Astyanax mexicanus: one gene and its partners. The main gene of each other region encodes a partner of the protein of the gene in region 3 in a complex. Links are inferred from orthologs where the notes say so. Each region holds a gene or a part of one and is shown on either strand. Other genes may lie near its edges. The genes, in order: ahi1, tmem231 and mks1.

Region 1 (3,756 bases), on a different chromosome or scaffold from region 3:
TTCTCAAAAAACTTAAGACTTGAGTTGGGCAGTTATTTTAGGAAGGTGTCAATATGAAAGTTCACAATATATTAGTGCAACCCAAAAAATAGATAATCATTAAAAAGTTAATTTATTTCAGTAATCCAGTTTAAAATGTGAAACTCGTATATTATTTAGATGTCTTACACACAGAGTGATATATTTTAAGCATTTATTTCTTATATTGTTGATGATTATGGCTTACAGCCAATAAAACCCTCAAAAACAGTGTAAATTTAAAAGTGTAAAATTAAATCTGCATCACGGATCTCCTTGTAGAAGCTGCACTGACTTTGGACTTGATATAACACAGTGGACCAACACCAGCAAATGACATGGCTCTCCAAACCATCACAGATCAACAGTAAATTCTGCATTTTATTTGGAAATCAAGGGACCAGAGTCTGGAGGAAGAGTGGAGACGTGCACAGTCTAAGCTGCTTAAGGTCTAGTGTGAATCCACACTGAGTGAAGGTTTGGAGAGGTGTCATCTGCTGTTGTTGGTCCACTGTGTTATGTGTTTTTTCCCTCTGCTTCACTCTCCCTCTGACAGCTGTTATGGAGATGCGGATATCATTTTCCAGCAGGACCTGACACACTGACCACAGGGCAAAAAGTATCAATTAGTCTTATATAATTTAAAAAAATTCAGAGGCACTGATTTCTGGGTTTTTATTGGCTGTACGCCATAATCATCAACAATAAAATAAATAAACGCATAAAATATGTCACTCTCTGTGTAATACATCTGTATAATACATGAGTTTCACATTTTAAACTGAATTACTGAAATAAAGTTACTTTTTTCAATGATATTCAATTATTTTTAGATACACTTTTAGATGCTCTAACGCTGGCTGGTGAGAGTCAGACACGTTGCGCATGTCTGTTTGTTCCACCAGAATGCGCAGTCTGATTCCGCTTTTTATTGGCTGTCTTTGAGGTAACAACACACAAGGGGCGGGGCTAAAACTTGTTTATTGTTGGCTGCCATCGCAACGAGTCAGCGGCTAACGGACTGTAAACGTTTTCATAGGATATGGTTTGATTTTCAGGTAAATAATCCTGTTTTGTACAACAGACACTTTTATTAACTACGCGACCCATCTAAAAAAAGGCGGGCTGTTACACTGGGGTCGCTGTTAGTTAAGGAATTAACTGGCTAGGCTGTATCCTACTGTAGTAACACGTTAGCCAGCTAGCAGTCCTGCTAATCTATGGGACAGTGTTTTCAGTGAGAGAGCGGAGATTCATTCTCAGGGGGCGGCTAATGTCCTCTCGGGCGCCGTTATAGCCGGGAATGTTAAACCAGGCACAGCAAGTTCTGTTGTTGAGTGGAGTTTAGAAACTGAAAATGGCCTGTGGCCCCTTTTTCTCTATGAGTGTAGCTTATTTAGTGTTTGGTACTGCAGTAGAGCTAGCTAGCGTTAACTCAGCAAAGTCAGCACCAGACAAGATTGATTTCGCGGTTAGCTGATCAGCTAGCTCGGTTACCTAAGCTAGGCTAGCAAGCTGCCTTACATCATGACTCCTGTACCGAGCTATTTTAACCAGCTTAAGCCAATAGAATTCACTAAAGGCTAATTAAAGCTTCTTCTGGATTCAAAACACTGGCTGTCTCGTTAGCTAGCAACAATCTAGCTAGCTAACTACATTTGAACCAATAATCGGCTAGCTAAACTAGATAGGTTAACTAAGTTACTTCTCCTGCTTTGTTTGACAGTTTAACTAGCTAAGATAAATAACGTTAACCTATGTTTTCAGTTTCAGGGATCTTTTGTGCACAGAATGACTTTGCTCCCAGTGCTTGAGGATGCCGGCAGGTAATCACACTTTAATTAATGTTACCATCCAAACCATACCAATCCAAACATATACTGATTACCTTGCATGTGGACGGGCAACTAATACTGTTTGTGATGAACAGGTCAGAGTGATGTGAGAGCAAAGACTAGAGCCCGTTTTGACGAGGTGTTAAAGAGATACACAAACCCTCCCTCAGAGAAAAAGAAGTCCAAACAGCGAGGAGTCGAGCTGCAGGAGAATGTTGTGGTAGGTTACGTGGTTATGGAATGTTTAGGGCTATCAAATATGAAATAATAATAAAATAATAATAATAATACAATTATTTTCTCTCAGTCTTGATAAATAAAGTACCAGCTAAAAGTTTGTCTGTTTTTTGTTATTTTTTCCCCTACAATGTTAATGAATACTGAAGTCATCCAGACTATGAATGAACACATAAGGAATCATGTAGTAAACTTCCAAGTGTTTAACAAACCAAAATACTCTGTGAAGCATTGAGGTGGCTCTTATCTGGGGTGCTGTTAACCTGCAGTTCTGAGGCTGGTAACTGAACTTATTGGTCCTAATGAGTGCCAGTTTTATCATAATGTTTTGATTGGTCTTTGCAAGTGCATTTGAGGATGCTTTCAAAGTTTCGGATTTAATTTTTTAAAGTATTTCTAAAGTATTTTTTTTTCCTTCCTTAGTTGAGAGGTCTTGCCATAATATGAATTAAAACATTACTCAAATAGGGCTATTTAATATATACCAAGTCTACATCTTCACAACACAACTGATGCTCTCAAACTTTTTAAGAGGGCAAGAAATTCAAGCAATTATCTCTTGACAAGTTCAGCACAGCTGTTACCTGAAAGTCATTCCAGGTGACTACCTCATAAAGCTGACTAAAAAAATGGCAGAAAAAAAACATGAAACATGAAACAACAATATCTTACTCTGTCATATTTTAAAACTTGATTTGTTCTTGTAATCCCTTTTAGCTTCAGACATTGAGCAAAAACTTGGATTTAAGTAAAACCACAGAAGAAGATGAGACCATTCTCAATAACACGTATGACCCTACACAGGGTAGCCCAAGGTACACTAAGAACAGACGCAGGGAGGTCGAGGTGTCAGAGAAGATCAATGTCAGCAATAATGTAAATGGAGAGAAGTCCCCACTGGCCTCAGGAAAGAAGAAGACTAAAAGAAAGCTGCCCCCACACCCACTTGTTCAGGATGAAGTAGACACAGACAGAAATGCTGCAAACTCTGAAACAAAAGTCACTGTTGAACCAGACTGGGGGCAGAACAGAAAGGGTAAAAGAGGGAAGAGCAGAGGCGGAAACAGAGATAGTGGACACAACGCAGGCTCTGAACCTGAAGATGATCTTCTCAAAGAATATCAGCAACAGATTAGTCAAGATGAGGAGAGGGCTATAAAGAAAACAACTCATAACAGACAAGATGAAAAGTTGCCCAGGAGCCAGGAAACCTCAGTATTAAACAATGAGCTCGGAAAGAAGAAGAAAAAGAAGAAGAACCTGAGGGGTAGTGATGAGGATGAAAGGTAATTTACAGAAAGCATTTGTTTTTTAGTCGTTTGTGTGTGTGTGTGTGTGTGTGAGAGAGAAAGATCTTGTTCCTTAGGTTTTAAAGCATATTGCAAATATTGCATATAATGCAAGTGATCCTTATTCTTTGTTTTTACATTACCCAGTTATCAAAGCTTTTATATATTTTTTTTCCATTGAAATTTCACCACAGCCATTCTGAATTTGAGAAAATAAAGGAGCCTATTCAAGGTGATGCTGTAGAAGAAGACACCGTAGATACAGCAAAACCCAAAGGAAAAAAGAAGAAGAAAAGAAAAGATGGTAAGTCATGTAACACCTGCCAGTCATTCTAGTGAAACTGTAAGATTTATGAAGTATTTACAATTTTAAGAGT
Region 2 (3,756 bases), on a different chromosome or scaffold from region 3:
TTAGCACTAGCATTAGCTTTAGCACTGCTGGACGGACGGCTGACGTCATGCAGGTCATACCAACCAGCTCTGTGGGGGATGTGCCGAAACAGGACTCGGGTTAAATCCTGCACCCGGTGACCAACCACATTCCCCAAAGATTTTGATTTGTAAATATGTAAATATTGTTTGTATTATATTAAGCTTGAAATATACATTTAACGCATAATTCATATTATAACACATAGTTTTATTATTTGTGGGAAGCACCTTTATCCTAAAAAGCATTAACTTGAAAAGTGTTAAAAGAGCCTTAATCATTTAAAACCTTTAAGTGAACGTTGATTCAATTCAGGTAGCCAATGTTAGATAAAGGTTGTATAATCAATATTATATATATATATATATATATATATATATATATATATATATATATATATATATATATATATATATATATATATATATATATATATATATAAGGTTTAGTGTTAGTGTTCTTTGATATAAGTGGGAGGGTGGCCTACAGGCTTGTTTTTTTTTTTTTTACATTTATATTTATCCTTACAACTGAATATGGGCTTTTCATATTGTTTAGCAATTGAAAAAAAAAATAATGTACGTTCACCATAATTCTGAATATATGTCTGGAAAACCTTTTATTAGGACATGTTTGTTAAATGTAAATTATCATTGTATATATGTTTTTTTTATTGTCCTTTATTTTATTTATCGTATTAATAATTGTCTTGCATTCTAATCAGTCATGAAATCAAGTGGACCAAATAGTCTGAAATGTCCAATTCAGTAATCAGATCAGTTTCACACACAGTATACCAGAAACCAGGAGAGCTATGTCCAGACGTTTGTCTCTAACCATTGTTTTAAATATTGTCATAAAAAAAAAAATTAGGCCTAATATACTATTAAGGCTATTTATTGGTTAATGAGTATGTTATAAATACTGGTAATTCTGTGGCCTTTGTTATGCCCATATTTGGGCTTCAGCTTCTTAGCTTGATTTTCAGTGGCAGAGTTCATTTTTAAATCACCTATATGTTCTGTGGTGATTAAATACAGAATATAACACTTTTGTGTACGTGTTTCTCCTGCACATCACGTTAAAATAACATTCCTGGAACACTATCTGTAATGTTCCTTCCTGGGACCTTTTTTAAAACGTTGCAAAAAAAAAAGTAATAAATCTGTTTTAAATGGTAGCTTTATTTTGGTATGATTTAAGTTTTTTGCTAAGAGGTGGAATAATAAATATATTTGACAACAGAGGGGGTGGGGCGTGGGTGGCCATGGTAACTGTGGGCGGATGTTCGCTTTCTGTTTCCTGGAGGCGGTCATGGTAACGCTGGGACGCTTCGCTTCAGGAGCAGTTACCGTTAGCATTAGCATTAGCATGGCTTTTAAACCCGAATTAGGCACTGCACGTCTGCGGCCGAACTGATAGATACAGTACATTTAATCCGAATTAAATACGAGAGAAACCGATTCTACAGCACACAACACACCTTAACACATCTCCATTACAGCTTAACCTTAACCAATGCTAACCAGAACAGCCCCACTGTTATTTCTCAGTAGGTTTTAACTGTTCTTCAGAGCGAGTTTAGAACTGTTCTTCAGAGCGAGTTCAGAACAGCGAGGAGGGTTTCAGTGATGGCTTTTTATGAAGTGTACTCCCACCCTGCTTTAATAAGATATAAAACCAATGTGTGTACTCGCGCCACCCTGTTCGTGCTGATGGTTTTCTGTCTTACGTACATCCCGCCACTGCTGGTCGCCTACAAGAGCCAAGGTAAGTGTTCACTACAGCAGCACCTCATTAATACAGCTGGTATACTGTAAGAATTTAGTATATTAACCCCGTGAACTTGCTCATGGACTTACTTAATATACTGGCTGTGCTGACTAGCTTATGAACTCCAGGAGCTCATGTTAAACAGTGCATGGCTTTACTGACTGACACCTCCAATACAGTGCAGCATTTCATCAGTAACTGATGTTTTTTTTCTTTGTTTGCAGGATTCTGGCTGAAGAGAAGCACATATGAGGAGCAGCCGGTTGTGCAGTTCCAGTACCAGATGTTAATGATTGGAGCCACTGGAACAGCAGGAGAATTTGTGGCGTGGAGCACTTTTCCTGACTTTAACCGTCTGCTGGGAAGCAACCTTCGCATCCCTGCAGTGTCTGTAAGTACTACAGACACAGAAATGTACACAAAAGTTTGAATACCACAAACTAGCTAGCACACAACATGTTCCCAGAGTTCACCAGAGCATCACAAACAAAATGTTATTTACTCATAAACACAGGTTCTTTTCTTTGGAAGGCGGTGGATATAATTTTTATGGTGCCTCACCAACACTAGATAGCTTTGGTCTGAGTAGCTCCAAATAACTAAATAGCTTTTGGAGTGTTCGGTTAACACAGCTAGATAGACAGTACAAAGGTGGAAGAAACAAACTTTTGACAGTGGGTGTGGGCATATGAAATAAGTGTATTATGTTTAAAAGCACATGTTTGTGTTTTGCAGGTCAAGGAGGAGGACAGCAATCAGGATGGAAAATCAGACCGGCTGCGTCTCCAGCTCAGTGTTCCACTGAAAGCAGAAGAGCAGATTTACAGCATTCAGCTACTCCTCACCTTCTCATACCAGTTGTTTGTGTGTATCAGCACAGTACCACAAAAACACACCCTAACCCTTAATTTAGGGCAAACTGTCCCAAAATTATTCAACAAAATCCCACAAACACAAGCAAATGCCACCCTACGCCAAATACAGTCCAATGGCAGAAATCACCTCAACTCTACAAAAAACTCTAATACCAAATATATAATAAAACACTTACAAATGCCAGCAGACACTAGGTAATGCCATCAAATGTAATCAGTTTGCATCATACAATATTACATAGCAACAAACATCAGGTGTCAATAGCTGCCATCGAACCAACCAACAATCATCAAAAAATACACTCCACACTCCAACAAACATTAGTAAACAAAACACTGGGTTGTTGTGCCATACATATTTCTGATGCTTTTCTCACTGCATTTGCAATTTTTTTTTTCACTTGATTGAACAAGTGGAACTGTCAGGTTGAATTCATGTCACTCTTTTTGTAGCGGATGTCCACTGTAGTGATGCAGTCTATGGCCTTTATTCAGCACTCCTCCTCCGTTCCTGGATCACAGCTGTTCATCAATGGGGACCTGAGGCTCCACCAACAGATCCCACTGCCACACAGAGGTCTACATGCTGCCTACAATGTGAGAGTTTGTGTTCATACTTTACACCACACTTTTAAATGCTTTTTGTAGGTGTGTTTACGTGCTATATTTCTTTTTAGGTGTCAGTGGTCGAAACAGGGAGTCCCTTCGCTACTTCCTATGACTTGGCCAGCATCATCAGAGCCTATCAAGCAAGAAACTGTAAGAGAAAGTGTTTATATGTATTTGTATATGTCTGTGTTGTAAATTGATAGTTTCCAAAGCAAATATTCCTCCTTAATTCAGTTTTTCTCCTTAATTCAAATGTAAATGTTCAGTCGTAACTCACATTTAATGCCCGTTGAGACGCTTATACAGTGCCCTTCAAAAGTATTTTATTCAAACAATAAATAGCACAGAATGTCTACACTCAGTTTCAGATCTGCAGACTGTGCATTTAAAGTTAGAGAAGTAACCAACATGAAAACCAGCTGTCTATGAGTAAAAAACAAGCAACTGTGAAACTGAGAGAAAATGGAAAATCTATCAGAA
Region 3 (3,756 bases):
AAACCACGTCCTGTCCTCCACTCTTTAAACTCCAAAAAATGAATAGAGGGTAGTAGTTAGTAGTTAGCAGTAAACACGTTTAACTAGCTAAGCTAAATAACATCAGCTAACTACTGTATCTCTATAACGTTAGCTCTCAATGGATTTACCATGGCTAGCTGTCTAGTTAGCCAACGTAGCTAACGTTACCACGTATTCATTCAGTATGAATACGGTTTAGCTGGATAAAACACATCGTTGTTACAAAAACGGTCACCTAAGTTTGTTTTAAATCAGACTCCAAGCCATTTAGTAACTAACTAGCCTAGCCTAGCCAACTCTAACGCTACTGTTACTGAAGCGAAGCTGGTTCAGGGAGAGCCTGCCCACAGCTCCACCGTTATAATCAGAAAATGACCTCAAAACGCTAGAGGGAGCCCGCGAGGAAGACCTCAATGAATGGGAGCGAATGGCGCTAAACGGTTAAAAACTCTAATGTAAAATATTTCCTAACTGCTTTACCGAAGTATTCTGTTACATTTAGAAAGTATACTGACGTGTTTTGCCAAAAAGCTAAATAAAACCTACCTATATATTTCTATGTTTCTCCAGCAAACGGATTTTAAGCAGTAATCACGCTAGCATTACAGCTAATGTGAGCTGATGCTGGACAAGTTATAATAGTGCATCTCAAATAAAAAATAGAATATTAATGAAAAGTTACTTTATTTCAGTAATTCAGTTAAAAATGTGAAACACAGTATTACACACAGAGTGATTATTTTAAGTGTTTATTTCTTTTATTGATGATTATGGCTTACAGCCAGTGGAAAAACAAAAATATAGTACCAATATAAGACCAATTGGTACTTTTGGCCGTGTGGGCAGTGTGCCTGATGGAAAATGAAATCCGTATTTCCGTAAAAGTTGTCAGCAGAGGGAAAAATGAAGTGAGAAAACACTACACTGACTTTGGACTTTGGACACAGTGGACCAACACCAGAAGATAACATGGCTTTCCAGACTATCACTGATTGTGGAAACTTCACTCTAGACCTCAAGCAGCTTGGACTCTGTGTCTCTCCACTCTTCTTCCAGACTCTGATCCCTTGATTTGCTAATGGTCAATGATGGTTTGGAGAGCCATGTCATCTGCTGGTGTTGATCCAATTTGTTATATCAAGTCCAAAGTCAGTGCAGTGTTTTCCTGGAAAATCTTACAACACTTCATTCTTCTCTCTGCTGACAGATGTAATGGAGATGCGGATTTTATTTTCCAGCAGGACGTGGCACACTGCCCACACTGCGAAAGGTACCAATTGGTCTTATATCATATTCTGAGACACTGATTTTTAAGTTTTCATTAGCTGTACACCATAATCATCAACAATAAAATAGAACACTGTGTGTGTAATACATCTATATAATATATGAATTTTACATTTTGAACTGAATTACTAAACTTTTCAATGATATTCATTTTTTTTAGATGAACTAGTATAGCTAGCAAGATACCTGAGTTTAAAAGTCTTAAAATTTAAACTCAGGTATCTTGTACTCAGGTATTTTTGTACTTAACCTCTTCTATTATTTGCACTTCAATATTGTAAGTCGCTTTGGACAAAAGCGTCTGCCAAATGTAATGTAATGTAATGTAATGTAAAATTGGGGTTTAAACATTTTTATGTCTTCGGTACTAAAACATCTGAAGTTCTATGAAAATATAAAACTTATTTATACAAACATTCATAAACTATGATTTTGCTCAAACGCTAAAGGTACCCATTCATTTTTATTTTGGAATCACCCTGGAGCGCCCTCTGGTGTCTGACAAACCCGAAAGAGACCACTGAAGTAGGTAGTCTCCTCTGTAGAGGGTCTCTGACAAAGCAGCATTTAAGCTTTAGCGCACACGCACGTGGAAAGGAGTTCCGGTCACCTTCGCCCAGATCCCCCAATAGGAGCTCTGGTTAATGGGCGCGCCTCGAATCGACTCCTTGCCCCCTACGTAGTGAAAATTCGAACACCCCTTTTTTAGGGTTGGGTGGGCTTTTTTCTAAGGTGGCCGAGTGAAATGACCAGCCCGGTATAATACTATGATAAATAAATAATACTTTATTTATTTATTTATACATACTTTGAGAATAATATTTATTCTTCATTTTATTTTAGCTTTAGTGTTTTGAACACTGGCATGCTGTTTACTAGCAACTGCTTGAAAGCTGGATGTCAGTCAAGATCAGTGACTAATCTAGTGCCCATTATGAACAGAGTACATTGTGTTTAGCTAAATAACCACAAACATCTTTTTTTTTAACCACAAACATCATTAGCTATCTGTGTTTGCATTTATGACTTAAACAGGCTACCTACACTTGTTCCCTAAAAAAGTCAAATTGAGACTTACCCTTTGTTAGAGTTTACGCAAAGAATCTTTAGAGGGGAGAATACCCACTCGAGAATTTGTTACGGCTTTGTCACAGCACCAGAGGGCGCACCTTGACTGAGTCCAAAATGAGTGGATTCTTATGGAGGAATTTAGAAAAATCAGAGTTATAAATGTTACTTTCTATATTTAAAGAAATGCCTTGAATTGGGACTTTTTCACAAATTGATTATTGTGTTTATCAAAACTAGATTGGCTTCCAGTCTATTTTAGGATAGATTTTAAAGTACTGCTATTAGTTTTAAGGCATTACATGGATTGGCACCATCATAAATTACAGATTGTCTATCTCTATATGTTTCAAGTCATTGTTTAAGATCAAGCACTGCAAGTCTGCTTACAGTACCTAAAATTAATAAGAACCAAAAAGTGGGGGGGGGGGGATTATGTTTTTTATGCACCAAAGAAATATAACAGCTTACAAATAGAGATTAGACAGAGTCAGAAAACAGTTTCAAAAAGTATCTGAAGACATATATCTATAATCTTTTATTTTAATAATTGATTTGTTCATTTTATCATATATTATTTTATAGTTTGTATATATATTTTATATCTGCAATCTTTTGCAATCTTACTTTACTTTTTTATTTGCTCTTTTTGTCATTTTACACTGCATTTCTATTTATATATTTTTATTATTGTTTAACGTTGATTTTATTGCATTTTATCTAGTAAATTTTAATTTACTTGTTTCTTTTATTACTTTTCTAAAGTTTTAACCTCTTAGCTCCATTTACATTATTCATTTAGGACTCGCGGGCTCCCTCTAGCGGTTCCTTGTCGTTTAATGCTGCAGCGATTCTGCTTGTTAAATGATCAGGCTCTCTATAAACTGCCTCTTGCCAAAGACTTTTTACAGGCAAGACAGTTCACTTGACCGCCATCTCGCGACGCTTATGATCTTCTCGTGCAAGACCAGCCTCCTATCTGTTTGAATGGGAAGAGACCAAAATACTCTAAATAGAAGGCATAATTACAAGTTTAACATCATATTTTACATTACTGATAAAATTGACAAATATATAATTAAAACAATGTTTAACGTTTTTTACAAAAATGTACAAAAAACGTCTTTTTTCGGTTTGTTATGGCTACTGCGCCTGCGCACAACTCCACACTTAGCACTAGCAGCAAGCTGAGTGGCTCTCATTAGTACAGCGGTGAGTGGTCTGTCTCCTCAATGATAGGATCTCTGCTCTGGTTTACGGCGCAGTACTCAGCCCTACGGTTTGTTTCCAAGCAACAAGACGCTAATGTGAGATTAGCCCGTTAGCTAGTTAGTTAGCGTTGGCTAACCTAGCCCATTTACTAGACTATTTTTCACATGT

The links.
Region 1: mks1 (region 3) and ahi1 share a complex: the UniProt entries of both Homo sapiens proteins name them as parts of the tectonic-like complex. The link is inferred for Astyanax mexicanus from reciprocal best matches to the Homo sapiens genes MKS1 and AHI1.
Region 2: mks1 (region 3) and tmem231 share a complex: the UniProt entries of both Homo sapiens proteins name them as parts of the tectonic-like complex. The link is inferred for Astyanax mexicanus from reciprocal best matches to the Homo sapiens genes MKS1 and TMEM231.

What each region holds. Positions count from the first base shown.
Region 1 is NC_064421.1:18,203,834-18,207,589, reverse strand, and holds the start of ahi1 (jouberin), read left to right. Parts: upstream 1-967; 5' UTR 968-1,076; intron 1,077-1,785; 5' UTR 1,786-1,834; coding exon 1,835-1,844; intron 1,845-1,948; coding exon 1,949-2,073; intron 2,074-2,807; coding exon 2,808-3,376; intron 3,377-3,573; coding exon 3,574-3,683; intron 3,684-3,756. UniProt on the Homo sapiens protein: Involved in vesicle trafficking and required for ciliogenesis, formation of primary non-motile cilium, and recruitment of RAB8A to the basal body of primary cilium.
Region 2 is NC_064417.1:10,976,308-10,980,063, forward strand, and holds the start of tmem231 (transmembrane protein 231), read left to right. Parts: upstream 1-1,303; 5' UTR 1,304-1,650; coding exon 1,651-1,789; intron 1,790-2,016; coding exon 2,017-2,183; intron 2,184-2,527; coding exon 2,528-2,656; intron 2,657-3,120; coding exon 3,121-3,264; intron 3,265-3,344; coding exon 3,345-3,426; intron 3,427-3,756. UniProt on the Homo sapiens protein: Transmembrane component of the tectonic-like complex, a complex localized at the transition zone of primary cilia and acting as a barrier that prevents diffusion of transmembrane proteins between the cilia and plasma membranes.
Region 3 is NC_064408.1:26,070,611-26,074,366, forward strand, and holds the start of mks1 (Meckel syndrome type 1 protein), read left to right. Parts: upstream 1-1,035; 5' UTR 1,036-1,106; coding exon 1,107-1,291; intron 1,292-3,582; exon of another isoform or gene 3,583-3,608; coding exon of another isoform or gene 3,609-3,655; intron 3,656-3,661; exon of another isoform or gene 3,662-3,756. UniProt on the Homo sapiens protein: Component of the tectonic-like complex, a complex localized at the transition zone of primary cilia and acting as a barrier that prevents diffusion of transmembrane proteins between the cilia and plasma membranes.